Linked DNA regions of Nothobranchius furzeri. The protein of the gene in region 1 purifies or fractionates together with the protein of each later gene. This does not show direct contact. Links are inferred from orthologs where the notes say so. Each region holds a gene or a part of one and is shown in the gene's direction. Other genes may lie near its edges.

What was found.
Region 2: the proteins of ift57 (region 1) and ift22 purify together in Homo sapiens (affinity purification with mass spectrometry; 3 studies listed by BioGRID and IntAct, counting the BioPlex papers as one, with this or other methods). This does not show direct contact. The link is inferred for Nothobranchius furzeri from reciprocal best matches to the Homo sapiens genes IFT57 and IFT22.
Region 3: the proteins of ift57 (region 1) and ift20 purify together in Homo sapiens (affinity purification with mass spectrometry; 3 studies listed by BioGRID and IntAct, counting the BioPlex papers as one, with this or other methods). This does not show direct contact. The link is inferred for Nothobranchius furzeri from reciprocal best matches to the Homo sapiens genes IFT57 and IFT20.
Region 4: the proteins of ift57 (region 1) and ift80 purify together in Homo sapiens (affinity purification with mass spectrometry; 3 studies listed by BioGRID and IntAct, counting the BioPlex papers as one, with this or other methods). This does not show direct contact. The link is inferred for Nothobranchius furzeri from reciprocal best matches to the Homo sapiens genes IFT57 and IFT80.
Region 5: the proteins of ift57 (region 1) and ift27 purify together in Homo sapiens (co-immunoprecipitation; 3 studies listed by BioGRID and IntAct, with this or other methods). This does not show direct contact. The link is inferred for Nothobranchius furzeri from reciprocal best matches to the Homo sapiens genes IFT57 and IFT27.
Region 6: the proteins of ift57 (region 1) and ift88 purify together in Homo sapiens (affinity purification with mass spectrometry; 3 studies listed by BioGRID and IntAct, counting the BioPlex papers as one, with this or other methods). This does not show direct contact. The link is inferred for Nothobranchius furzeri from reciprocal best matches to the Homo sapiens genes IFT57 and IFT88.
Region 7: the proteins of ift57 (region 1) and cluap1 purify together in Homo sapiens (affinity purification with mass spectrometry; 4 studies listed by BioGRID and IntAct, counting the BioPlex papers as one, with this or other methods). This does not show direct contact. The link is inferred for Nothobranchius furzeri from reciprocal best matches to the Homo sapiens genes IFT57 and CLUAP1.

What each region holds. Positions count from the first base shown.
Region 1 is NC_091751.1:36,282,714-36,286,875, reverse strand, and holds the start of ift57 (intraflagellar transport protein 57 homolog), read left to right. Parts: upstream 1-1,362; 5' UTR 1,363-1,563; coding exon 1,564-1,718; intron 1,719-2,638; coding exon 2,639-2,813; intron 2,814-3,033; coding exon 3,034-3,152; intron 3,153-3,521; coding exon 3,522-3,612; intron 3,613-3,862; coding exon 3,863-3,931; intron 3,932-4,010; coding exon 4,011-4,133; intron 4,134-4,162. UniProt on the Homo sapiens protein: Required for the formation of cilia. Plays an indirect role in sonic hedgehog signaling, cilia being required for all activity of the hedgehog pathway.
Region 2 is NC_091751.1:48,583,784-48,587,423, reverse strand, and holds ift22 (intraflagellar transport protein 22 homolog), read left to right. Parts: upstream 1-1,292; 5' UTR 1,293-1,381; intron 1,382-1,495; 5' UTR 1,496-1,537; coding exon 1,538-1,576; intron 1,577-2,255; coding exon 2,256-2,338; intron 2,339-2,435; coding exon 2,436-2,519; intron 2,520-2,595; coding exon 2,596-2,798; intron 2,799-2,871; coding exon 2,872-3,026; 3' UTR 3,027-3,140; downstream 3,141-3,640. Other genes in the region: outer dense fiber protein 2, read right to left, coding at 68-142, 256-387, 474-585, 674-795. UniProt on the Homo sapiens protein: Small GTPase-like component of the intraflagellar transport (IFT) complex B.
Region 3 is NC_091753.1:22,422,731-22,426,757, reverse strand, and holds ift20 (intraflagellar transport protein 20 homolog), read left to right. Parts: upstream 1-1,227; 5' UTR 1,228-1,504; intron 1,505-1,936; 5' UTR 1,937-1,946; coding exon 1,947-2,073; intron 2,074-2,187; coding exon 2,188-2,273; intron 2,274-2,405; coding exon 2,406-2,509; intron 2,510-3,033; coding exon 3,034-3,115; 3' UTR 3,116-3,701; downstream 3,702-4,027. UniProt on the Homo sapiens protein: Part of intraflagellar transport (IFT) particles involved in ciliary process assembly. May play a role in the trafficking of ciliary membrane proteins from the Golgi complex to the cilium.
Region 4 is NC_091753.1:52,601,098-52,605,382, reverse strand, and holds the start of ift80 (intraflagellar transport protein 80 homolog), read left to right. Parts: upstream 1-1,485; 5' UTR 1,486-1,710; intron 1,711-1,826; 5' UTR 1,827-1,843; coding exon 1,844-1,883; intron 1,884-2,383; coding exon 2,384-2,602; intron 2,603-4,285.
Region 5 is NC_091746.1:76,141,234-76,144,733, reverse strand, and holds part of ift27 (intraflagellar transport protein 27 homolog), read left to right. Parts: intron 1-69; coding exon 70-129; intron 130-1,337; coding exon 1,338-1,397; intron 1,398-1,615; coding exon 1,616-1,733; intron 1,734-3,500. UniProt on the Homo sapiens protein: Small GTPase-like component of the intraflagellar transport (IFT) complex B that promotes the exit of the BBSome complex from cilia via its interaction with ARL6. Not involved in entry of the BBSome complex into cilium. Prevents aggregation of GTP-free ARL6.
Region 6 is NC_091742.1:29,231,089-29,234,588, forward strand, and holds part of ift88 (intraflagellar transport protein 88 homolog), read left to right. Parts: coding exon 1-7; intron 8-179; coding exon 180-330; intron 331-1,466; coding exon 1,467-1,582; intron 1,583-3,500. UniProt on the Homo sapiens protein: Positively regulates primary cilium biogenesis. Also involved in autophagy since it is required for trafficking of ATG16L and the expansion of the autophagic compartment.
Region 7 is NC_091748.1:64,775,477-64,779,476, reverse strand, and holds the start of cluap1 (clusterin-associated protein 1 homolog), read left to right. Parts: upstream 1-1,200; 5' UTR 1,201-1,312; intron 1,313-1,927; 5' UTR 1,928-1,933; coding exon 1,934-1,955; intron 1,956-2,037; coding exon 2,038-2,149; intron 2,150-2,343; coding exon 2,344-2,428; intron 2,429-2,514; coding exon 2,515-2,691; intron 2,692-3,637; coding exon 3,638-3,733; intron 3,734-3,847; coding exon 3,848-3,931; intron 3,932-4,000. UniProt on the Homo sapiens protein: Required for cilia biogenesis. Appears to function within the multiple intraflagellar transport complex B (IFT-B). Key regulator of hedgehog signaling.

The sequences.
Region 1 (4,162 bases):
TCATGTGTTAGAAAGTGTTTCTGACCAAGATAGGAGCAGTGTGCATGCTATCTACAGGTGGAATGTAGCTTTACATCACACAAAGTCCAGGATGTTCTCCCCTTTATTTCATCTAGAAGTCTTCTGCTAACTGACTCAGTTGACCACAATTATCCCAAAGTGTTGCCTTTTCTGTGTTTTAATTGGGTTTAAGTTTTGTTGTCATAAATAAACAAAAATCTCATCCAGATTCTCATGACTGTGTCTCTCTGTGAGGTGTCTGGTGCTTCTTGGTCCTCCTACATTAAGTTCTTTGAAGGACTCTTCTGAACCTCTGAGGCTCAGTGACCCTGGAGGCCCTACCAGGGTCTGATGTCCCAGACAACACAGCTGACAGGGTCCGGAAGCCCCTCCCCCATGGTAAGGTGATCATTTCTACACCTACATGTTCCTGTTCAGGGTCACACGGGGAAGATGGCGTTGGCTCGGAGGTGAGCTTCAGCTAATACTGTAGCACAATGAAGAGGTAACATTATGTTTGTTCTGCTCTAGAAGCAGCTGCAGTTGCTACAACATGGATAATATTTTTATAAAGGTTTCTGACGAAAATGACTAGAGGATTGCTGATGACTGATGTAAGTGATGGTTTGTTTTTGCTGTTGTGGAAATGAATTAATCAAAAGAAGGTTTTTGTGCAACATAGTAATGCTGAACTTGAATGAAATAGAATCAGAAACAATGCCATTGTGGGAACCTTTTGTGCTAAACCCAAACAAACAAAGTGAGACAATATAGGCTTATTTTGAAATTGGAAATGGATCAAATGAAAAATAGGTTTGCTCAACAATCAAGCTCCTTCTGCAGAACTGGACTCAATACATCAATGAAGTCAAGTAATCTTTACAATTTGGAATTTGATTCGGGTGGTTTTCTTTCATCTTTTTTTAACTGGTAAGTTACAGTAGTACTAAGCTGATTCAAACACCCTACTGCAGGGCTTTTCAATTCCAGTACTGGTATCCAGCACATTTAGTTTAACCCTGTTTTAACACACCTGCTTTCAATCAGCAGGTGATTAACAGGCTTCTGCAGAGCCTGGTGTAGCTGCTGCACAGGTGACTAGAGAAACCACTAAAACGTGCTGGAAGGCTGGAAATCGGAATAGCCCTGCAATGGTTTATTTATTTATTTATTTTGCTCAAAAGCGTGTAGTACTCGTGTCGCCCGCTGGGTGGTGGTGACGCACCTTGAAGTCGTTTGGCTAAATCTGAATCAAACCAGAAGAAGAAGCTCGTTTTAACAGCGATACTTTACGCTTGAATTGAGTTTGTCACTTAACCTGTTAGTTTTAATGTTGTTGCTGTTGAATAGACTTTTAAATACTTCCTAACCTAGCTTGAAAATAAGACACACTGGCTAAGGTTATCCTCCTCCACAGCTAGGTGGCTAGCTTCGGTTGCCTAACAACCGACAAGAAGTGAAACAAACCGCAGCATCAGAAGCGAGCCATCAAAATCGGACCGAACCGACCGCGTTTTGAGCAAAATTAACCTTTAAGGTGTTTCGTTGGGGAAATACCACGGAATGTCGGAGGAGGCTCGACGAGGAGAGGATGCGGACCGCGGGCCAGGTTCGGTCCACCAGGCGTTTGTGGTGATGGAGAACCTGCTGGAGAAGTTAAAGGTCCTGAACTACGAGGAGGAACTTCTGTCCAAACACAACATGAAGAGTCTGTCCAGGTGAGAAGAGACTGGATTCCTAATCTGGGTCTGAGCACAGTTTAGGTTTAATTTATAAACTATTTAATCTGACTTTTCTGTGTTAAACTTGAAAAGTGACCAGAATACAGCAGATTAGGAAGGCAGAAACACAAGATGGACAATAATTTTATAGATCTACTGAACCTGTTCTGTTTAAATTCTGTTTATAGCTTTTCCACAAGTTTTAACTTATAAAAACAAACATTTCTGTGTTTTGGTGTCTTTTTACATTTCCTAGAAGCTTTAAATGTGTCCTTCCTGTTGGAGACACCATGTCCAACACTCAGACACTGTTTTTGTATTCATGTCTATGCGTTTAGTTTGATTGTGCGGACATAATTTATTTAGCAGTGGGAAGCCACATAAACACACACATTATTTATTTGTTTTCTGCAGACTTCCAGTTTCCTGCTACTAGCTCAAACCCGTCCTCCTCTAATTATTATCTGATATCTTAGTATCACTCACTCATCTAAACCCCTTCATCCTCAGTAGGGTCACAGGGCGCGAGGGACACCCTGGACTTGTCTCCAGTCTATCACACAACCCGTCTCCCTCACACGTAGGGGCAATTGAGTGTCTCTGTTAACCTGACATGTATGTTTTTAGTCTGTGGGAGAAAACTCACACATGCATGGGGAGAGCATGCCAACTCCACACAGAAAAGTCAGATGGGATTCAAACCTGTCACCTTTTCACTACAAGGCCTCCATGCAGCTCTCAACTAATAGAATTCCCATGAAAGTGTACATCAGGTTTTAGTTCATTTTCTCTAGAGTTTTTGTTATATTCAGAACGTTCGGGGTAAAAGATTGTTTTTGACTCTAGAAATCTTACAAAATATACATTTATAAAGAAAGATTAAAAAATAGCATTTTTGTGTCCTTAATTCCCCTCAGACATTACTTTGTCTCCAGTCCATTCTTGGCGTCCAACTCTGGTGAGCAGTTCTACATGTTCACCATCATGGCTGCATGGCTCATCAACATAGCGGGTAGAGCGTTCGCCGAGCCTCAGGAGTACGACGAACCCAACGCCACCGTGTCCAACATCCTGACAGAACTCAGGGCTTTCGTACGTCACAACAAACTTTTCTCTCCCCTTGAATAATTTTGCGTCTGCTACATGAATCAGACGTTTTATTTTTGTGAAATTATCAAAAACAAGAGCTAAATAAATAAAATGAATAGTTTGTGCGACAATAAATTTTTTGTATTTTTTTTCTCCGTAACTCCTGACACCAGCTGCTATTAAAGCTCGGGGGTTTCAGGGTATTTATCCATGTCTCCATCAGGGTGTAAAAGTGGACTTCCCTCCCTCCAAACTCAAGTCGGGTTCAGGCGAGCACGTCTGCTTTGTGTTGGATCGTCTGGCTGAAGAAGCGCTTAAGAAGAGAGGCTTCACATTCAGGAGGTACGACAACGGGTCCTCCTTTATCTCATTACTGGGTCAAAACATCTATTACTGTCACATAAAACCCATTAATGCACGTTTATCCCTCTAGTCTTTTTCTGTCAGGAAACCTTTTTGGTTTTGTCTCAATCCCAGTTCACACATTAAAACGGATTCTCACAGATTTTGTCTGTTTTTGTTTTGATATTCGCAAAAATGTTTCAGCGATCAAACAAGTTTCAGTATGATGATGTGAAACTGCTTTTCAGTCGTCTTTGATGGTGACGTTTGTTGATCAGAGCAAAAACAGAAGAAACCTGCTTTTTGACACCTCTGCACGCTCCTACTGAGAGAGAGAGAGAGGATTTACAGCTGTCTTTCCGTTTTTAGGCCCAGCTACCCAACAGAAAACACAGAAGAAGAGTCTGTGATGGAGGACGACGCCGAGCTCACATTCAGCAAAGTAGAAGTGGAGACGATTGTACGTGTTTCTGGCTTATTTACCTGTAAACGAGTTTGTTTTTACTCTGACCAAAATGAACTGAAGTTAAAAACATTTCTGTTGAAACATCAGAGAGCGTAGTGGTGTCATGCTTTACAAACGGCGTGAAAAGTAAATGAAATGTTTCTGCAGCATCTTGTTTGGGAGCCAGGAAGAGTTGCTGCTGATTTTGACAGAAAACCGTTTCATCATTTTAAAAAGTGTAAATCTGAATGGTTTTGTTCCTCAGGAGGAAGCTGACGAGGATGAGGAAACCATGATGGACCTAGAGGCTCTGAAGCTGAGAACAACTCACACTGTGAGATTTATTTAGAGGAATGTTTGGAGTTTGGAAACCCAGCTTCCTTCTCACTGGAACCGGTTCTGTTGTCTAACAGGAAGCAGAACCGTCCTCCAAACCCGATGAGATTCTGGAATCTACGATGGAGGCAGCGGAATGGAACCTGGAGGTGGAGAGGGTCCTGCCGCTGCTCAAGGTCACCATCAGGACCGACAACAAGGTGCACGCTCGTCTGTGCTGCAGCGTAGC
Region 2 (3,640 bases), about 12 Mb from region 1:
GTTTGACTCAACTCCTGACTAATTATATCTTCTCCCATCATAGAATATGATATAATAAAACATTCACCTCATTTTCACTTTCAGCTTGTGTTATCTTCTTTAATAAGAGGTCTGTCCGTTTCTTTTCAGTAATTCGATTAACCTGTATAAGGAATTCATTATTAAAGCAGGTAAAGTCAAACTTATTACAATTTATATTTAGAGAAAAATTTTAAGTCATTTTTTTTTGCATAAATTCAACATTTAAAAATCCACCTCTGCATTTTGGTGTAGTTTTAACTCCTGTCGCACAGATTTATTTATTCGTCTAAAATTCTCCAACTTCTCCAGCAAAAGTCCTCTCTGCCTTGTGATTCCACGCTTGTCTTTGGAAGACGGTCCCAAATCCTGAATTGAAAGAAGATGTGATTATTTACAGACACGGTAAATGCTCAAACCAAACAGAAGAAGGTAAAAATTGCTCTTAATCATACAGTAAATTCATCTTCTATTGCATTTTTGAATGAAGCAAGTTGTATTCCTGCAGAGTTGGCAGCAGCTTCTGCATCAATCAGTAGTTTCAGAAAGGTGTGCTTCTCTTCAAAGCTAAATGAAAAATAGGGATGTGAGAAAATGTTGTAAGCCTTTTAGCTCCAGAGCACATGTTTATAAACATGTGTGTTTTCTCTGTGACCTGTTTCCTTTTTGTGGCTCATGACTGTTGTCTAGGTCACCACGCCTCAGAGTGAGATCATCACTGGTGGAACTGAATCCAGGAAAAGGGGAACTCTGGGGATCACCATCCTCTGGAGACATACCCCCCACTAACAAAAACATAACATAATAAACAAAATAAAACAAAGTGTTAAATCACTAAATATCCTGATGGAAATTCTATCTCATATGCTTATAAGATCGTTTTATTACACTTTACAGCCAATTTGACTTGAACCAGGAAGCCAGCGGACACCCAAGCTAACATGCTGTACTCCATAGCAACGGACAGGTTTGACTAAGCCGTCGTTTAACGCGTGTTAATTTGCCGAATAAGCTAAGTCACTAACAACCACGTGGTGACTAATGTAATTAAACTTAGTACATTTCAACTTTAAATCGTATATTCTAGAAAATTCTAATATTACTCACACTTTCGCTTTGTTTCTGTTGTAAATAATACCACTTCAACTGGGGAGGCAGCAGGGACGCTCAAGCGCGATTGGCCATCTTCGAAGTAACGTAATGACGCTACATGTTTTTCCCATCACTTATTGGCTCCTCGAGGCAAAGAGGGGCGGGACTACGTTTGATTTTAATTTCAAACAGCCAATGGACGAAGAAAGAAGGGGAGCTTGGTTGAAACCATAGAAACGACAAGGAAGTCTTGTAGTCGGAGAACATAAACGTAAATAAGCTAGTTTAGTATACTTTTATTCTTTTAACTTAAAATACCACACACATGTTTCTTTAAAGACGTACTTAGCAATTTATATTCACGCTGAAACGTTGATTTTCTTAGGGTTCTTAAAGCTAGCGTGATAGCTAATGCTCGGCTTCGGAAATGTTCAAAGTAAAAATACTCTTTGTTGGACCTACCGAGGTAAGTAAATGAACGTAAAACGTATATAGATGAGCATGTATTGTTAACTTCTTTAGTGATCTCGGTCCTCGAGATGTCCAACACGTTTGAGTTGATTCCCTGCTTCAACACACCTGATTCAATTATCTGTTCAACAGCTCATCATGCTCTGCAGAATCACCTACTCGTTGAAATCAGGTGTGTTGAAACAGGCAAACAACTAAAACATGCATAATACCAGCCTTCCAGCACCTTTACCCCAGTTCTAGTGTAAACTATTTTATGTTTATCTCAGTAGCACTTCAGCTAATATCGAATTCATATATTTATGACAGTCTAATAACCTTGTTATGACGGTGTATGGAAGCATTTAAAAGAAAAACGCAATGCTTAGGTTAATGAAATCAAAACTATGCTATTTTACGAATAAAGACCTTTTGAAAGTTTTTAATGTGTAAAAAGTAATTTGTGAAAAGACAAAAAGATTGGATGTTTTTGAATTCAACTAAATACATTTTATTTGGTTACTCGAGCACACTTTAATTGTACCTCAGCTATTTCCATTTTCATGTCACACCGGACATGTAGTACAAATAAAACTCAGATGCTTTTCAGCACCACTGGTCAGTTCATAAACATGCTTATATTGTAAAATGTGAGAACTAAACATATCTTTAAAGTGATCTATTCCTTTTTTCAGAGTGGGAAAACTGTTCTTGCCAATTTTCTCTCAGACATGACAGAAAACGTGGGCGGACAGTACCGACCTACTAAAGGAGTCAGGTACAGGCTGTTTTCCTTTCATTACCTTTCATTCAATGTTATTACCTCATATACATATTATACTAAAATGATCACATTCACTTTCTACTTGCTCAAGGATACTGGAATTCAAATCCCAGCTTAAAGGCAGTGGTGACAAGACCTGTGAGGTGGAACTTTGGGATTGTTCAGGAGATTTTAAGTAAGTCATATTCACTAAGAAAATGCCTTTTCTTTCTAAATGAAAGCTGCTTTTTGATGCCAACCCTTTTCTGCAGGTTTGAATTATGCTGGCCTGCTCTCATGGAAGACTGTAATGGTGTGGTGACCATTTTTAATCCTGCTGTTCCAAGTCACCTGAAAGAAATTGAGACCTGGTACTCCATGTTCATTGCATCCCAAGGTTTGCAGGACAACCAGTGTCTACTCATAGCTCATCACAAGCCTGGCAGTGAGGTAAAAGATGGGCAGTTGACTTTAGGTAATCTCCTAAAAGTGTTGCATCAGTTTTTTGTTTTGTTTTCCGAGCTAACATCTTTACTCTTTTGATGCAGCACCAAATCTGAGCAGACTGCAGCTTATTCACTCCAACCTGGAAGAGGACCCAGAGGATGTTAGACATGCTTTCTTCAGATATGTGGGAAATGTTGTAAATGGGATGTTGGAGAGTCAAGAGCGAGAGGAAATGTCAATTATTACTCAGCAGTGAAATCTGTACATATCTACCCGACTGACTGCACAGTTCATTGGCTTATGTAACTCATCAAGTTATTTTCTGTTAATAACTTGTCCCTAGTGTTTTATTAAAGGTTCATTTACTTTATACCTACCTACTTTATACCTTTATTCCTACCAAAGCAGGAATACATGTGTGCCATTACCTTAATGGAAAACAAAATAAATCAGTTCATTAAACAACAAACACTCACCTATAATATAATGCATTCTTTAGAACCATAAAGAAATGTCTAAAATGTCCACGCAAAAAAAAAAGTTACAAGTTTTACATTTCTGTGTCTGCACAAGTTGGAAATAAGCAAAAGGCACTTGAACAAAGCTAAATAAAGCATGTTACACGTTGTAGAGAAGCTCATGTGCAGCTTCACATTTACATGGATGACTGAATCATTACTCACTTTCCTCTGACTCACCCTGCACCTCACATAAGACAAAACACTGCTGGAAAAACACTCAGAAAACAATAATGTTGGACCACCCCACATTTCCAAAACAAAAATTAACCCTTGCTCCCATCTATTAACAGATTTAACTCAGCAGTCCTGTGGGAGAGGTTTGTGATTTAAGAGGTATTGTGAAAAGTTC
Region 3 (4,027 bases), on another chromosome or scaffold:
GGTCTACAGGAGGTGTTTGAACCTTAAAGAACACAAAGTGTTTAATAAAACAACCAAACACTTTAAAATTCTCTTTCTGTTACACTTTAAACATCTAATAGCTCCTGTGATTCATAACTATTTGTATCATTCTCAGTTAAAAGCACTTGATAAAATACCTTAGTTGTTATTTAAACGAATACGTCAAAGTTTAATGTTTATTTTTGAGAGATTATTTGGTAATGCGGTTGTAGTCATTTTCAGAGGACATCGTACTGTGTACTTCCTGTTTCCGTCTCAGATAGATGGTGCACCAGTTTATCTGAAGTCCAACAGATCCAAAACACCTATGAGGCTCCAGTAGGGAGTTTTTCATTTACTCTTGTCCCAAAACAATCAGTTTAGCTTAAGATGGAAGCTGCTGCTTTCTGGTTAAAGTTGTGTGGCTGCTAAAAAATTCCGATAAAAAAATAGTTTGGGGCCCAGTAACAGTTAGGTTAGGTGATGATAACTAAACTCCGTGTAAACACAATATTTAGTTTCACATGCGTGTTAACTCTGATATACAGTTTCAGTTCAGAATAGCACAGGTCAGTGGAAACTAAAGCTTTTATGCTGTATGTTTATTCGTTTTACTGTATCTTGTTAGCATGTCCCGCTAACATTAGCCAAAAACTCAGAAAAGCAGATAAACAACAGATCAAATATTAGAAGCTGAACGCACTGAAACGATATCGCTGTTTGCATTAAATGCATTTCTAGTAAACGGAAAACTAACTCCTGAATATTCGTGATCACGAGGTAAAACTTCAATAAACTAAGGAAAAGTAAAAAATGGCCAAACTGGATCCTACAGTTGATCCTAAACACGGTATGAGTCTGTAAGCTTTAGTTACTCACCGTCCTCTTTTTTATGATTTTAAGTAATATTTACAACAACAATAAACAAATGGAGTTTTAAATGATTTTAAAAAAGAAAGAAAACAAAACAGACGTATCCGTTTCTTGTTCTTTTTCTGGAATGGCTGTTAGCGAACTGCTTTTTCGGTTCATTACCGTCACCTTCCGCATTGGGGTGGAACACCCACAGTAGATAAGAGAAACAACATATAGTTGGGCTTTTTTTTTATTTAATTTTTTTTTTTAGATTTAAATTTTAGATCATTTATGTCACTGAGCGACTGACTTGGTCACAGTTCTAAAAACATTACGATAAACATGTCACTCCCGTTCTCCGGTGTTACCTCGATACGAGTCCTCCACCCACCCTAGAGGAACTCATGTTGACGTAACACACCGGTAAAGTATTCAAACGGAAAAAACATAGGGGACAGCGTTGTAACGAAACAGTGAATAGTTTTGTTATGATAATTAAGAAGGATAGGGGAAAACGACCACCCCCAAAGACCCCGACACAGCTGTAGCTGTTTGGTTTCCTTGGCAGCGACAGGAGGAGCTTAGCTGCTAGTTCATCTGCTCTGCCACATCACACGGGATAAAGCCTATCAGCTCACGACTGTAACAGGTAAAACATACACATTTGTGTTTCTTATCTTCATAAAAACTGGTCATCTATTATGAAGTGGTGACAGAAAACAATTTGTGGCATTTTTGAAACATCTAGCTATGCTAGCTAACTTAAATCATCTAGCTGGGGAGTTCTTAACATGACCGAAACAAAATAAAAGCATAATCTTTCATTTGGTGACACATGAACTTTCATTCAGCCGAGGTTAATTTAAGGTGCTGTTAATTTAAGCACTAGAGTAGAAGGAATCCTGCTTTACCGAAAGGTTTGCACTTGAACATCTTTAGTAAAATAATGTGTTTTACTTCTGTTTGTTTTGAACCTGCTCTTGTGTGTATTATGATGATAATGGGGTGTTACCTGTTAGGTATATTATCCTACAAACTATCTGATATTACTAAACTAAGTTGCATCTGTCGTTGATGACAGGCCTCTGGCCATGGCTAAAGACCCACTCGCAGAGGCAGGGTTTTATTTTGATGACCTGAACAAGCTGCGGGTGCTAGAGCCTGATGTCAGCCACAAGACGTCAGAGCTTAAAGAAGAGTGCAAGGACTTTGTAGACAGTAAGCATGGAGATTTTACGTCCTCATCCCCACCCCCACACTTTTCCAACTATTTATTCCCTTTCATCATCACCAGCCTCAACAGTGTGTGCAAAATTGTCTCCTCTGTTGCAGAAATTGGACAGTTTCAGAAGACCGTGGGTGGTCTAATCGAGCTGGTGGACGAACTGGCAAAAGAAGCAGAAACGGAGAAGATGAAGGTAAGTCTGACACAGAAAGCAGCTTTGTATGTCCCTGTTTTCTCTCCTGATTCTGTGAAACTTTTAGTGGTATCGGGTTTATGCTCTAATCATGTGTAAGCAGAACTTATTACTCATCATCCTGTCCTGTAGGCGATTGGAGCCAGAAACTTGCTGAAGTCTGTGGCAAAACAAAGAGAAGCCCAGCAGCAGCAGCTTCAGGCCCTGATCACTGAGAAGAAGATGCAGTTGGAGAGGTAAAGTAGCGCGGTGCACGTGTGTCAGATGGGTTAGCATGACCCTTTAGGGACACGTGACCTTCAGAACAATAAACACCTATAAGGGTACTTTTAAAATACTTTAGTGATGAACTTTTTTGTTTTGTAGAAAAATATAGTTTTTAACCTTCAGATGTTTTAAGGTAAATGATGAGACTATTATTTTGAAGGACTGAAGGAAGTTTTTTTTAGTTCCACTTTGTATGCTATAATCAAATTTGTGCCTCAAACTCAGTAAAAAGCCCTGTTTATGTAACATTAGTAATAAAATGGAACAGGCTTCAGGAGCACACAGTGTTTTACTTAATTCAGTTGTTCTTGAAAAGGCTTTTTTCTACTGCCTTGTTTTATTTATTTGTTCCTCGGCGAAGCTGAGGCAGGAGCAGCAGAGGAATGGGGGTCTGGAGTATTGTGCTGGGAGTCAGCTGTAGTGAAGTGGACCTTCATATTTACCCCAAGTTCTAACTGTCGGTCCCGTCCTGTGAGCTGCTGTTGTGTTTCAGGTATCGCATCGAGTACGAAGCCCTGTCCAAAGTGGAGTCTGAACAGAACGAGTTCATCGACCAGTTTATTCTGCAGAAGTGAGAGAACACGAATAAAGAACGATACATTCAGCCTCTGAGTGCCTTTCCAGAGTGATTGTCATTTTAAGTCACTCCTACTGGAGCTTCGTCATCTGAAACCCAGCTTCAGTGTCATCAGGAAACCTCAACACCCGTTTCTGCGGCGCCGATCTCAGACGTGTGTGCGTGTGTGTGTGTGTGTGTCTGCAACACATCAAAGCAGCCATGCTGAATGCTCAACATCAGATGTGTCTATATCAAAGTCCAACAGAAAAATGTAGATCTATTTATATGAAGCAGCATTATTAATACTTTTCATGATGAAAATTAATCTGTATATCTAGTTTTGTAACTTTTTCTATGAACTGTCATGAATTCTGCATGTGATTGTTAGCAAGTTTCAAACGTTTCCTTGTTATGAAAGCCCGTTCTAGCCGACCTGCGGATATAAACACAAGCTTTTCTTAGATTCCTACAGATGTTTTACTTGAATACTGTGTATTGAATAAATCTGTCTTGATGGTTGGTGGGTTAATCTCACATGTATGTTTGGTTTTAGTAAAACTCCCAGGATTTTCTTTTTTTTTTACCTACAGAACAAAAAGTTGCTTTAAATCTGAGAGCTGTTTACTCCTCAGAGGTGTTCCCATGGAGCCTAGTGAACTAGACCAAATTCTTGCTTTGCAAAGTTTGCAAATAAATAATAAATGAATTGTGCAAACAAATAATATAAGTAATACGATTATTTAGTCTGGCTTGCCAGGCTAGTTCCCATGCTGTTAGAAGAATAAGAAAAGATCTGTTCTAAAGTGCCTCAAGATAAAAATCACGAGGCGCTTCACAAAAAATGTAAAAGAATTTAGAAAATGATTAAAAATCAGCAAAAACAGACAATTGTGATTAAAAATGTAAAGAGAGAATAGGAAAGAGGGAA
Region 4 (4,285 bases), on another chromosome or scaffold:
CATAAAACTAACTAAAATAACAAAACAAGCTAATTTCTTAGCTGAACTTTTTGTTTGTTTGTGACCATCTTAGTCATTTATAAGCGGCACGCTTCGTTTTGGTCGGAAAACGTGAAAATAAGATTAATATCTTGAAAACAAAATACAGTTAATATGCAAATGAGACGATTTCTCTATCCTTAGCGCTTTGTCTTGTCCCATGTTGCATAGCCACGCAGCAGAAGGGCTCTAGCCGAGGTCTCAATCTGACAGTAACATTAAGTTTCCATCCTGGGAGCTCTTCTGTTGGGGGCGGAGGTATAACTGAGCAACCTAAACTCACTGGATAAGCGCGTTCAAATGCATAAAATAACCACCGCATCAATTTAACCTTAAAAAACACGAAACAAACTAACACAAGCAACATAATAGATAACCCTGGCAATGTAGGTCGGGGAGCAACAGCATTAACTCAACCAAAGTCACGTTAACTTTGATCAAAAGGACAAAAACTAGCTTGAAAATAGAAACGGTCCACGTTACACTGCTATTAGATTTGGCAAACAATCTAGATCGAATGTAATATATAACAAATCTTATGAAGTCCTAATTCGCAGCTGATAGACAACACAAGTCTATTTGTATTATTTTTCGGGGTTTCTTCAGTTAAAATGCAGTTCCACATCGTCAGTGGTACTTTTAGTTTGAAACTAACGCTACGCGTTTCAGCAAATAGACGGCACCCAGTCGATCTTCCTCGCTAAGATATCTCCTGGTACCTTCCACAATATCGACGCGGTCCGTGAAAAGTCCTCCTTTCTTTCCCAGGTCGTTGCTCTAAAAAATTCCAGGAAATCCGAACTTCGGCGAATATAATCCATAAAATTCAGCCCTGTAACATTCCGAGTCGGTTTCCTGGTTGAAAATTCTAACTTGTAAATGGCGCCTAAACTGCGCCGTCAAACCAAATTCGTTACAAACTGACGCAAGGCACCATGGACCGTTCAAAGGGCAGGGAAAAAACTCGAAATTCAAAAAAGGGGACGAAGCCAACTCCGCCTCTCCACATCTACAGTATTCATAAAAAGAAAACGGAGAGAATAAAGAGTCGTTGTTCTGGAGTTTAAGATACACAATTTTAAATGACGTTTTGTTGCAAATAAAAACTTTAATCTTGTTCTTTATGTTTACAGTTACAGTAGAAGTGAGTTCCGCCTTTTAAGAATTCGTTTAGTTAAAAAAATGCCCATTACGTTTATTACAATACGTGCAACGTCTGATTTGATTAAAACGTGGCATGTATTAACCGTATATTTATGTGGATGGTATTAACGGGATCTTATTTAAATTTACAAGCATTTTCGAATTTGTTTTCTCGGGAAGATATTTGTAAATCTCGCGATAACTACCGTTTTAAACGTCCTCTCAAATGGCTACCAAAAAGTTAGCCTTACGTTATGACAAATTAGTGCCTGGTGCTGTTTATGGCTGATTTTTACGTTGCTGTTTAATTGAACCGTATTATACGACACGTATGCCTCGCAGGTTCGCTACGGATAAACTCGTTAACTGCAGTATGATGTCGGTGGCTCTCAAGAGGATCGTTAGCACACAAGTTACTGGCACGAGTCCTACCGAGGATTCACATTAGCAACGGTGCCAGCCACCTTAGCAACTGCAGAACACCCAGGGTTTTCCTCCATTAAAGGAACGTTTTACCGCATCAACGGGGTATGTTTATGATGCGTACGCTTAATGTTGTTTTTATGTGTTGTTTTGAATTATTTATTTCATGTATGCCGCATTTGAATAACATGTGTTGTCTGGCATTGTTTTTATTCGTTTAGGAGAGCAAATTCCTACAATGAGACTGAAAACATCGCTGCTAAAGGAACCCAAACATATCCTTTGTATGTTGATATTAGCTTTAGCTATGTCCGTTTTTTTAATCCAGCTCAAACTTGCATTAATTACATCACATATTGTCAGAATTCCTTACCTTTGTCAGCCCCAATGAACACATAACCCAATAAAATCGTTTTTTTTATTTTAAAAGTACCAGAACAAAGATGTTAAACATATTCCAGTTGCAAACACGAGTAATCAAGGAAAAACTGAAAAGTGTTCATTTACAATTTTTACCCTTTTTACATCAGTTACCCTCTTATTCATAAAGCAACATATTGTAAGAGAAGTTTTTTGTTTGCGAGGTAGCGCTTAAAATAGTTGCAAAGCTAGATTGTTAAATAAACAATATGATAGAAAGATGAACATTTATATGTTTCACACCAGGATATATTCTTGTTCTCGTCTCTGTTTTTGTGAATGTAGATGTCGATCTTTACAGTCAGCTGAATGACGAAGCAATTCACTTGAATTATTTTCCTTAACTGCATTTTACATAAAGAACTTGCCAGTTGTGTAGGTTGGACTACAGCAGATGAGCTCTACTCCTGCAGTGAGGATCATCAGATCCTCAAGTGGAACCTGCTCAATAATGAAACCAGCCTAGTCATCCGGTTGCCGGAAGACATCTATCCCATCGAACTACACTGGTTCCCCAAAACCATCGGTGGCAAGAAACAGGTCCAGGCTGAGATCTTTGTCCTTACCAGCACAGATGGCAAGTTTCTTTAAATCAGTTGTCATTTTAAAGGAGCAATATGTACAAATTTTACAGTGAACTATTCACAAGACAGTGTTGTCTCAATCATGTTGGAAGGAAGGTTGTATTGAAACACATTAAGTTCTCAGCTGACTGGAGGGGGTTGTCAAGTTTTCTCCTTAAAAAAACAAACAAACAAACAAAAAAAAACAACGAGTGACATAGTTCATTTACAACCAGTGAGGTTGCCACATCTGCAGCAAGCCAGCACTTCAGAATCGGCATTTTTAATTTAACACCGGGAGACAAAAATCTCCAGAGTTGTTTAAAGAATTGAAGCATGTAAACAGGAGCGACCCAGAAGTAAGTTTTTTGTACCCCTAAAGCCTAATTTATACTTCACCGTCTGCGTCGGTGCGGAGATATGCAACGCCATTATGCGTCGGCGCAAGGGCTCTCTGATGGGCTCTCAGAGGGTGATGGAGACATGCCCAAAGTTATAAACATCCATCGAAAGTGACGGAGAAAGCAAGCTTGTGATTGGTCAGGATGCCGCTTCCTGTATATTCGTCATTAGCAAAGCTGTAGCTCAGTTAAAAAGTTAACAGATATTTAGCAGCAGACCCAGAACAGATTAAAGAAAAAGTTCAAAAATAATAAAAAAAAATTTCACCCGTGAGTGAAGGAGTATAAAATACAGAGCAAACATGGACGGTAAAAGTGAGTTTGGAGGTGGCGACCGCATGAAGAGGTGGAGGAGAATGAAGGACAAATCTGTTCTTGTTATAAAGTCTCTGAAATATATAAACATATTAGTAAATACACTATCGGGGACTGGATACGTGAGAGTTATGGTGGCAGGCTACCATAGAACAGCGCTATGCCCTCTGTTGTCCTGGCGGGGAATTGCTTTGCTACACTCCGCTGCCTTAACAGAAGTTCGAATGTGAAAACCTGTCCGACACTCCATGTGCGTCTCCCCATTGCGGAGCTCACGGAGAAGTATAAATCAGGCTTTAGGAGCCACTGTATCCATTTGTTTTACACTCACATCAAGTGAAGCAGGCTAGAGGCTAATGTTGAGCTAACAATGCTAACAGTGATTTAGAAGCAAACATTAAGGTCTATAAATATCATAAGCTACCTTTTCTGTAACCAACAACTCAATCTTACAGTAAAATGTATGCGTGAAGTGAATTATGAGTAAATCGTGGTGTTCTTTAAATGAGTCATTCAAAACTGTAACAGCAAGCTAAAAGGCAGGAGGGCAAACAACTGCACTTCCTCTTTGCTGGAGGCATATTATCATAATAACGGTAGTAAGTGCTCCCTGCTGTAAAACACCCAAGCGTATTAAACACCAAATATTACAATTTATTTATCTACTTATCAACTTAATGTATATAACTCGTCTTTGCTTGTCATCTAGAATATTCTGGCAACAGCCATGAAATTATGTTTATGTATTTATGTTTATGTATTTAGCAGACGCTTTTGGCCAAAGTTACTTACAAGTGGTAATCGGCATGTTGCCCTTGAGGCTAACAACAACAACAATAACAACAACAAGAACAACAACCAATTTCATGTCAGTCGTAGGTGGCAGTGAGGCAGCATGATGAATCATGGAGAGGAGGGAACAAGGAGAGGTCAGTAGAGAGGGGGATGGGTGCAGGGAGGGTGCTAGTTTTGAAGATGCTC
Region 5 (3,500 bases), on another chromosome or scaffold:
AAAAACACTATATATTTCTTTTTTGTTTTTTATTACATAATTAACATATTTTCTTTATTTTCTCAACAGACAGCTGGAGTGGAGCTGTTGATGAAGTGTGTCAACATCCCAGAGACCAATGACACGGTGGTAAGCTAGCAAATGCTACTTGAGCTAGCTAAGCATAGCTTTTTTCTAGCCATGCTCTACTGTAGCCTCATCAGGTCTACCATTGGCTCGAACAAATTAGGGTCCGACCAATTGCAATGCTCCATTTTTGAGAGATGCTAGGTTTTTAATGCAAACACATTCACGGAACACTCACACCTCGCCTCAGACATCTTCCCCGAGTCACCTCTGCCAGAACCGGAATCCCGCAATGCCGGACGAAACGAGATAGTGCTAAACACCGGTCGCTGTTTTCTACGTACAAACCTCTTTTGTTGTCCATGACTTCAAATGGTGTTTTTCTTTTTGGGACTCTAGTAGTTTGTCCTAAATTTGAAGTGGTAGCAGCCAGCTGTTTCTCCTTCTCTGATGCTATGAGCAGAAAATCTCTTACACCAGTGGTGTTCTGTTGCTAAACATGTGAGCGTGCAATAAATGTAGGACCCAGGGAAGTGTGACGGTTTGGCGAGACTGACAACTGTATGGTTTAATTGTTTTTTTTTTTTGGTCCAAAAGGTGTTATTGGCAGAGCTTATTAGATAAATTCAAAAGAAACATTTTAATAATTTGTTTTTCAAATCTCTAAAATATACATGTTTATAGTATGTTGGAACGTTGTTTTACTTTTAACCTAATTTGTTTTCCAAATCTGCCATTGTAGCTGTAAGTCACTAACCCTTCTTAAAGTTGTCTGACATTTCTTGCACCTCTGATTCATGGAAACTAAACTGAGAAGCAACAGAGAATGGTTTGAGAAGGATTCCCGACACAAGCAACAACTCTGCACTATTTAGCAACAACATTTGTCTTGATTTTAGTGTTAGTGAACGTGTTTGTCCTATTTCTTTCATTGATTTGTTCACATTTTAAAACAAAAGTTTGGTGATATTCTTTAATCTAAAAGAATAATAGATATTTAAGTAAACCTGCTGAATATTTACCTCATGTTTTCTTTTCTATTTTAAAGTACCTAAATTACAGAGGCCAAGTTTTGGCAACCCTCACTCACTGCGAATGAAGTTTTCCATCTACTATTCCCCCTTTCTTATCAGTATTCATTGAGCAGTGTAGGGGAATTGTAGAAGATGAATGTCTTTACCTTGGAGAAAGGGAATTTTAAATTGTGTAGTCCAAGTCTCCACGGTTAACACTTCTGCCTTCCCCTTTTTTTTTTTTGCCTCTCTTTCCAGGAGCTCTATATCTTAGACTCTGCAGGGAAGGAGACGCTAGCGGAGGGCTGTGAGAAAATGGTCAGATTACCTTTGTTTAATTTGCATGAAACTTATAAAACTGTCCAACCAGAGCTCCATCCCCTCAGAATGTTAAAACACCAGTGTGCTACTTGAGTATTGTTTTTGCAATAGACAGAACAAAGCTAATAGGACATCCCTGTAGCATCTCAGACTCTACCTGTCCCTTCCCCCTGCTTCTATGAGACTTACTGCTACATATCACCCTTTTTTCACAGTGGGGTGAACCTTCTTTGGTGTGCCTAGTGTTTGATTTGACCAATGAGCAGTCATTTGTCAACTGCAGTGGTTGGATGGAGAGAGTTCGTACGCACTGCCAAGGTCTTCGTGTTTCAGGTGAATAAAAGTAACGCTGTTGTACCAACAGACATCAAAACCTCATCATGCACTTTAGAGTACTTAGCATTATTTAACATTTTTAATTATCTGCCTAAGTCGCAAAATAGTTTATATTTTTGTTTGCTTGATAAATCTCACACTTTAACTAGAACTTTTCAGAAAGTGTCTTTATTAATGTTGGACTTAATCTTTTCTGAAGTTGTTTGTTCAACATACAGTAATGCTTTTACTTTAAAGAGGGCAGGCACTTGTTATTTATTAAATTTGCTGTGGTGTCTTAAATCATGCCTTGTGAGTGTTTTCTGTGGGGAGAAAAAGCTCTGGTGCTCCTGTTTCAGGAAGTAGAAGTTAGTTGGAGGACTGGGTTAGCATTCCACCAATGTGAGAGTGTGGGGCGTTACTGGAAGACAAGATGAATGGTTCTTTCCAAGGCTTTGGCTCTCATTGTTCACTTTGAAGAGCAGTTCAAGAGATTAGTTTCGTTCGTGAACGTCAGATCACTACTCTTCTTTCTTGGGTAAAACATGCAGCGTTGATGTATTAGCTCCACAAAAACAATTATTGCTAATGCTAATGGTTAGCTTCTACTAGCCATGACAAACTCTGTTTTCTCCTGGACGCTAAGTAAATACAGACTTCCAAGGCCGGTATTCTATTTTGCTTCACAACTACAAATGCAAAATTTACAATGTGACATAAATCTGCTTTTTTCTTACCCGATTGGTCATACTGTTCATTTTATTTCAGTGGGTAAAGCAGGATGGTTGTAAGTTAGATTCCCGGCTTTGGCCAATCTGCTCAGAGTTTGCCTCTTCTCCTCATGCATGTGTGGGTTTTCTCTGGGCACTCCAATTTCGTCTCACAGACCAAAAATATATATATTTTAGGTCAACTGAGAACCCTAAATTGTCCCTAGGGGGCCCCTGTCCAGAGTTTCAGCCACCACTTTAACTTTTATGGTCTTATGCCTGATTTATTCTTCTCCGTCTGCGTCAGTGCGGAGATACGCTGACGCAAGGGCTCTCCAACGGGCTCACAGAGGGTGACGGAGACATGCCCAAAATTTTAAACATCCGTCAAAAGTGACGGAGACTTCGAGCTTGTCACTGGTCAGGACGCCGCTTCCTGTAAATTCCTCACCGGCACCGCCATTGCCTTGTTAAAAAGTAATAAGATATTTAGCAGCAGACCCAGAAGAGAATGAAGAAGGCATCTCGAAAAAAGTCTGAAAATAAGAACATTTATTCACCCGTGAGTGAACGAGTACAAAATACGGAGCAAACGTGGATGGAAACGACGGGAAACGTGGGTTTAGAGGTGGCGACCACATGAAGAGGTGGAGGAGAATGAGGAACAAATTTGTCTGTGTTATAAAGTCTCTGAAATATATAAACACATTAGAAAATACACTATTGTGGACTGGATACATGAGAAAACCACAGAACAGCTCTACGCCCTCTGTTGTCCTGGCGGGGAGTTTCTTTGTAACACTCCGCTGCCTGAACAGAAGTTCGAATGTGAAAACCTTTCCGACACTCCGTGTGCGTCTCTCCGTTGCTAAGAGCTCACGGAGAAGTACAAACCAGGCTTTGGGGGCAGCAGTAGCTCAGGAGGTAGAGCGGGTTGTCCAGTAATCAGAAGGTTGCAGGTTCGATCCCGGCTCCGACCGGAGAATGCTGCTGTTGTGTCCCTGGGCAAGACACTTAACCCGCCTTGCAGGGGCGTGTCCAGGGAGTGGCCTGGGGTAGCAAATGCCACCCTTGG
Region 6 (3,500 bases), on another chromosome or scaffold:
CCGATATGTATCCTGCTCATAAGAAATCTTGATGCATTTTTCTCTCCACTAGATTAAAAGTTTCACACTTGTTTTGAGATACTTAATGTGGCCCTAATGGTTTTTATTCAGGTATTCAAAACGGCATCTCTGTTAGCACCATGTCTGCATTTGTTGGTCCTTAATAACCTTGGACTCAGCTACGAGCTGATGGGCGATCGTCAGCAGGCAATCAAGTGGCTGATGCAGGTCATCTGTGTGACCCCGACTGACCCCCATGTCCTGGCCAAACTAGGAAAGCTGCACAATGACGAGGGGGACAAATCTCAGGCTTTGCATTACTATAGTGAGGTATGCAAAATAAACACCTGACACTGTGACTGAACAGAAAGGCGAAGGGATGTTTGTTTGATCTTTTCTGATGACCAAGACGGGAAAAGAAGGTGTCCGAGGAGATTTAACAAACGCTGCACAAATCATTTATTCTGTACTTCCAGGTTCCCAGATTCTCCTGAGTGTTGATAAATAAATGTTTATTTTCACTCAAGAACCGATTTCCTCAGGAACACATCACTAGTGGTGGGTTCAGTGGTGAACCTCATCTCCTTTTGCTTTCAAAATGCCTGAATTCTGAAGCATTTCGGTCCGGTTGAGCTCGTGGTCGTGTTCTAGAAACCAGTTAGTGATGATCTGAGCTTTGTGACACGGTGCATGATCCTGCTGGAAGTAGCATCAGAGGATGGGTCCATGTGGTCATAAAGGGATGGACATGGTCAGCAGCAACACTCAGGTGGGCTGTGGGGTTAAACCAGACACATCAGACCAGGAGAGGTGTTTCCAGTCTTGACTGGTCCAGTTCTGGTGGTCCTGTGGGAATTGTAGCCTCAGGTTCTTGTTAGCTGACAGGAGAGACACCTGCTGTGGTCTTCTGCTGCTGGAGTCCATCTGGAGCAGCGGGTGAGGTCCTGTAGACCTTGGTAGAAACCAGTGACTATTAGAGCTGCTGTCGTGTCATTTAGTTCTGTCAGTTTGGCCGTTCCTCTTGACGTTATCATCCACACAACAGCTGCTGACTGATTTTCTCTTCGCCGTAAGTCCCAGAGATGGCTGTGGACTCAAATCCAAGTAGATCAGCAGACTCTGAAATGCTCTGCCGGTCTGTTCCCCAAAACCACACGTTTAAAATCCCTTAGATCTCCTTTCTTCTTCATGCCCATGCTCAGCTAGAACTTCTACGCGTTGTCGTCACCACATCTACATGCCTAAACACACAGAGTTGCTGTCTTCTTGCTGGCTGGTTAGGTATTTATGTTAACATGTTAATCCGGTGTAACTCATTAAGGGGCCAATGATTGGAAGTGTAAGCAGGTGCATTACACCTTTGTCAAATGAAAATCACATCATGCCAAAAAATATCTGCAGTGTACATCAGCCATCTGCCGCCCTGTTGACCTTTGGCCCACGTTAGTGTAACGTGTCCTTTTCAGTCCTTCAGGTTGTTTCCCTGCAAGATTGATGTGATCGAGTGGCTTGGGGTTCACTACATCGAGAGTCAGTTCTTTGAAAAGGCCACCCAGTACTTTGAAAGAGCCACACTCATACAGTAAGTTTCCACAGTGTGCACGTATGCTGGAGGATTGTGACAGGACTAAGCGGATCAGTGTTGCTGATGCAAACCCATTTGAAGGTTGTTGTTTTTTAAACTCGTTCTACGGTCTCTTCTGGGCTTGAGCCCTACTCAGGAAAGCCGGATGAAATCTGTCTGAGCTAGTAGTTTTGATTTGTTTCAGTGTACAGTACTTTAAACAGGTAGCTCCTTGTTATTTATGAAGTCACCACAGTTCAATGGAACAGTTTATAGCATGTTAGGTTTTTATGATGCACATTGTTCCGTTATACAGATTCTGGCTTAAACGTCACACTTCAACACATAATAAAATTGTACTTGTGTTTTTGTAAACAAGGTCAAATGAAAAGTGGACGTAATTTGTTTAAATCTTGAGAGGGTTTGTAAATTCTGCTCTTGTGAAAATTCAGTATTTTGGGAACAGAATGTCCCCGATGATGAGCGGCACAGCTCCGCTCCGTTAGCTTTATTCTCAGCCAGTGTGTCTCCTTGCTCATCAGGAAACCAAAGTGTTGCCCTAAAAAGACTAGTTGGTTTTCTAATGGCATGTAAACGTGTTAGTCTGGCTGAAGGCCAACTGGTTCTAGTCGAGCTGAATCACCCAGATAGTGTGGTAGCAGTCTGACTACGTTCTGCATGGAAATCAATCAATCAATACTTTATTGATCCCAGAGGGAAATTAGAGTTTCAGTACACACACTTCAGAGATCAGACATACATGGGCAAGACACATGACAAGAATTGGTGACTGTGGTCATTCGCAACCGGAGTCGCTCTACCTGAATGGAGATCAGAGGGTTACATGAGGATATGTTCAGGTGGAGGGAAAAAAAGGCACTTCAGAGTTACCCTCCACCGGGAGGGCAGCTTTGCTCTGCAAAAAACACCTCAAACAAATATGCAACAGATTTCAGACATAACACAACATAACATGAGACTCCAATAGGAAGGTGGGGGGGGCTGGGATCCTGTTTCCCCCAGCGAGAGCAGCCATCTACGGCGCTCATCTACTGAACAGTCACAGGTGGGAGGGAGATCTTGGGAGAAGCAGAGTACATTGACTCCTACAGTTGACGACCTTGCCTGGCTGAAGTCCACCAATCCGTAGGCGGGGGGTGGGGGGATGGGGGGGATAGGTCAGGTTTTCACAATATCTGTCTGCATTCCTTCGTGGGGGTTTTAGTTGCTTGCAGCTCAAGGCTACCAGGGCGTCAGATTCAGATAACAATACTTTGTTTGGGTCAGGCTGAGATCATTTTCCTCTCTGCCTTCAGTCTTTAAACTGATCATTTCCAGTCCTTCAGTGAAGCCAATTTTGGGTTTTTAAACCTGTCCATACCGTCCGGTGACTCTCTCTGGCTGGCTGGCTAGCCTGTATTTGATATAGCGCCTTCTAGAGTCCTGGAACCCCCCAAGGTGCTTTACAACACAATCATTCACACCCTGGTGGTAATGAGCTACATTGTAGAGGACTGACAGAGGTGAGTCTGCCGTACACACACACACACACCAGTCCCTCTGACCACCAGGCAAGTCGAGTTAAGTGTTTTGCCCAAGGAGACAGCGACAGACTGAGTGGGGCTCAAACCTACAACCTTCCGATTACGAGGCGAGCACTCAACTCCTGTGCCATCGCCGAGTACATTAAATATAAGAAATCATGACAGGTGTCCTTCAAATTGTCTAGCTGGCTAGGAGGTTCCATTAAAATGACTTTTATCAAGTATCTAAACAAGATGCCCCGTGCTCTCCATCACAACCCATGCCCAACCAAAAAGTCTACATCATTGTTCTCTGGACAGTTTTAGGGTTATAAAAAACTGTTTAAAATATTGACTTTGCTGTCAGGTCCAAATGAAGCAGGTGTGGTTGTGTAAAGCGGTTTTAATGTTAT
Region 7 (4,000 bases), on another chromosome or scaffold:
TTGTCTTTTGTGTGATCGTTGCCTGTACACAGAGCCTCTGTGTGTGGATTCCTTTTAAAATTTTGAAAAAAAGCCCATTAAAGAGCTTATATGAGGGGGATTCAATCATAAACTCTAATTAACTCTGGGTGTTTGTTGATTTGACTTGTTGCTATGTAATTTGCTGTATCTGGATTTATTGAGGTTGACTGAGACTCAGACACATCATGTCATGGTTGTCTCATCTGTCTGCAGAAGCAGGTGTAGCTGCTACAGTTAGAGCATTTTTTGCTTCTTGTATTGCAGCTCCCAGCTTATCTTGAGACCCGCTCTACAGATTGCTTTGCACATTTGCATTGACTTCATTGAGTCCTGCATGACAGTCATCAACAGATTTTTTGCCACTTAGGTCCACTTACAATTGCAAGTCAACCTCAGCTTCATAATTGTAAGTATTGATATGTATTGTTTTTATGGTTTTTCCCTCGTTCCATCTGATAAACCCTGCCCTCTTTATTCTCATGACATTGGCAGATTCTCACTGAAGGCATCAAAACTATGAATGAACACATGTGGAGTTATGTATTCAACCAAAAGCGGTGAAATACCTGAAAACCAGTTGTTTTTCAGCTGCTACTCAAAATTTGTTATCAGAAAAAGACAAGTTAGCACATGTATTATATTACAATGATAATAAAATGAGACACATTTTGCAGGACTAGCAGAGCAAATTCTATTGAGACCTCTATTGTTTTTTTACATGCAATAATTTTAAATGCAGGTGTGTATAATGTGAATATTTCCTTTTTTTGTGTGTGTATAGTGAGAATGCTGCCCAATCTTTTTTTCGTAACCCAGTTTGTGTGTTGAAGATGTTTAAATAGATAAAACTCAGCAAAGGCCAATGACTATCAGTTTCATAGGCACAGTTTTGGAGTATTATGAGCTGACATGTCAAATCATGTACGTTTTATACACTCTTTGTCCGTCATTCTACACATTAAATCGTGCTTTCTGGAAAGTGCTAATAAATAAGATCAGAATAAACAATGTGTAGTTAAACGTCATTATCCCCAACTGTCTTCATTATTGAAGCATGTCCAAATTTAAAAATCAATGTTTAAATTCAAAGAGACATTGGTGCATTTATTATTGCATTTACTTTAATAAAGTACAACGAATCCAAGTGTTAGTTATTCCCACAGACATTGATTCCGCCCTTCTTTGAGCTTTGACTACATCGAGCTTCCGTAGATGAGAGTGAGAATGTTTCCATAGCGACCATTTCTAGAGGCCGTCTACGGAATAACTTAGCTTGGACATAAGGTAACAGGTAATGACACCAATATCGTAATAATTTTAAATCCGTCTGGGAACTACTAATAACGCATTAAGTAAAATATTAATTATTTATTTGTTAACTAGCTGTTAGCCACTAGCGGTTGTCGTGTTAGCTTGTTGCTAACATTCAGCTAAAGAGGCTAGACCGTGGTTACGTTTACATAAACAGAAGTTTGCAGATGTTATTCTCCATCCAGCTTTATTATTTAAGTACTTTTCAAGACTAATGAAGCGCCGAACAGATTATAAACAAAGCATAAACATGGTTGTTTTAAAAAGACACGGATAGAACAAAAATACCATATTTCAAAGCACATTTGCTCTGTCCCCTCATAATTCAATTCAATTCAAAAATACTTTATTAATCCCAGAGGGAAATTGATTGCTTTTAAATTAATTAATTTAATCAAATCATATAAAGCTAGCAAACGTTTCAGGTTTACGATTCTTTTATTTTTTTTTTTATCATCATTGACTCTAAACGGGAAGAAATAGTTTTGATTTGTTGGAAACATTATTTGGTTATGTTTTCATCTATAATCTCAAATATGACACATTGAGCTTTCTAGGTAACACCACTCTCAATAATGACATGTTTTCCTTTCAGGTCAGCATGTCTTTCAGAGACCTAAGAAGTGAGTGTGTGTTATTTTCCATATTTATATAATGTAACACACATTTTTTCAAGTGATTGGACCCTGAATTTGTTATTTGCAGATTTCACAGAGATGATGAGGGCCTTGGGCTACCATCGCTTGATCTCTATGGAGAATTTCAGGACACCAAACTTTGCGCTGGTGTCAGAAATCCTCATATGGCTTGTAAAGAGGTATGGCATCACACTTTTAAATAAATTACATAATTGTCTAAACATCTTCAGTTTTTTGCACAAATATTTAATTCCTAATTTTATCACTACTTTATTTGGATTTGTTCCTGGTTTTTCATCAAATATTCCAAGATTAAAAAATCTAAATACTTTTTTTGTAATTTTGTTCCTGTTCACTTTCTTTCCTCTTGTAGATATGATCCTCACAGTGATATTCCCACTGATGTCGATACAGAGTCAGACAGAATATTCTTCATCAAGGCTGTGGCTCAATTTATGGTGACATTTTTTTTACAGATTATCTTCTGTATTCTTGCCCACCCAAATTCAAAGTCTGTTTTAACTTTTGTCTAATCTGCTCACAGGCTACAAAGGCTCACATTAAGTTAAACACCAAGCGTCTTTATCAGGCGGATGGCTACGCAGTAAAAGAGATGCTAAAGATCACCTCGATGATCTACAATGCTATGAAAACCAAAGAGATGGCTCAGGAAGATGTAGTGGAAGAAGATAACAAGTTTAAGTTTGACCTCAGCTCAAGGGTGAGCTTGTCTGCGAGTAATTTTACACACATGTTCCTGTATCCTCAGTTATTTATGAACATATTAGTAAACAGTAAGGTGTCAGGAGTTTGGTACATTATGAATAAATTGGGAACTTAAGACAGTTTAAATAAAACAATCAAAGCACAACTTATTGACAGTATTACTTATTGACAGTATTACTTATTGACAGTATTACTTACTGACAGTATTACAGGCACACACAATCTCATAACAGGAGTTTGTGTCAGGGTAGTTTTTATTGCATCAAAACTGTATCAAGTTATTAAAAATAAGTCTCCGTGGCTGAACAGGGAGAGCAGCAGGTGAGTGGTTCGATCCCAGGCCTTGGCAGACCACGTGTTGATGTGTCCTTGGGAAAGGTACTGAACTCTGAAATTTCCCCCCCTGGGGTGCTGTACAAACGACAGCCCACTGCTCTTCAGGGATGCAGGGAATCATTTCTCCAAGAGGGATCAATAAAGAATCAAGATCAATGCTTGGAAGCAGAAAAATTGGCCTAATGTAAAGGTACAATATGTAAGAATTTTTGTTTGTAAATGAGAACTTGTTCTCAAGCATTTTACCAGGTTAAATGAAGAAAAAAATCATGTTACTGTGAAATTATCAAAAACTAATGTCTCAATCATGCTGGAAAGAAGGTTACATTGAAACAGATTTCCTTCTCAGCTGGCTGGATGGAGGCCAGCTTTTCTCCTTTAAAAGTCTTTGTTTACAATCCATGAGCCTGCTGGGTAGCTGAGTGCGCCAGCTAACACTGCTGCATCAGCATTTTTAATTCAACACCTGCCAACAAAAACCTCCAGACTTGTGGACATATGTTAGCCAGTAAATGGCAGTCACTTTTATTGCCCACACATTTTATGCTCCGAAGACTTGTGTGAAAGATGAGTGCTTATTAGCTCTCACGTTGTCTCTGCTGCAGATTTCAGACCTTAAAGCAGTTCGTCAGCTTGCATCTGAAGTCACATCCAAAGGAGCATCTCTGTACGACTTACTGGGAAAAGAAGTGGACCTAAGGGTAAAGGGAAACAAACCATACCTTGCAGTTTTAAACATCTTTAAAAAGTTTTTATTTGATTAGAAAAAGACAATTAGATTTTAATTGTTGACGGACTTCTTTTCTAATTGACAGGCAGCGAGAATGGCTGCCATTGCTCGACCTCTTGAGATTAACGAGACTGAAAAAGCCCTGAGAGCTGCCATCAAGAAAGTTCAGGTCTGTATTTTAAATTATTGTTTTGTTTTGTTATCTTTTCAACACTTGACTTCACACGGAAAATGTTTT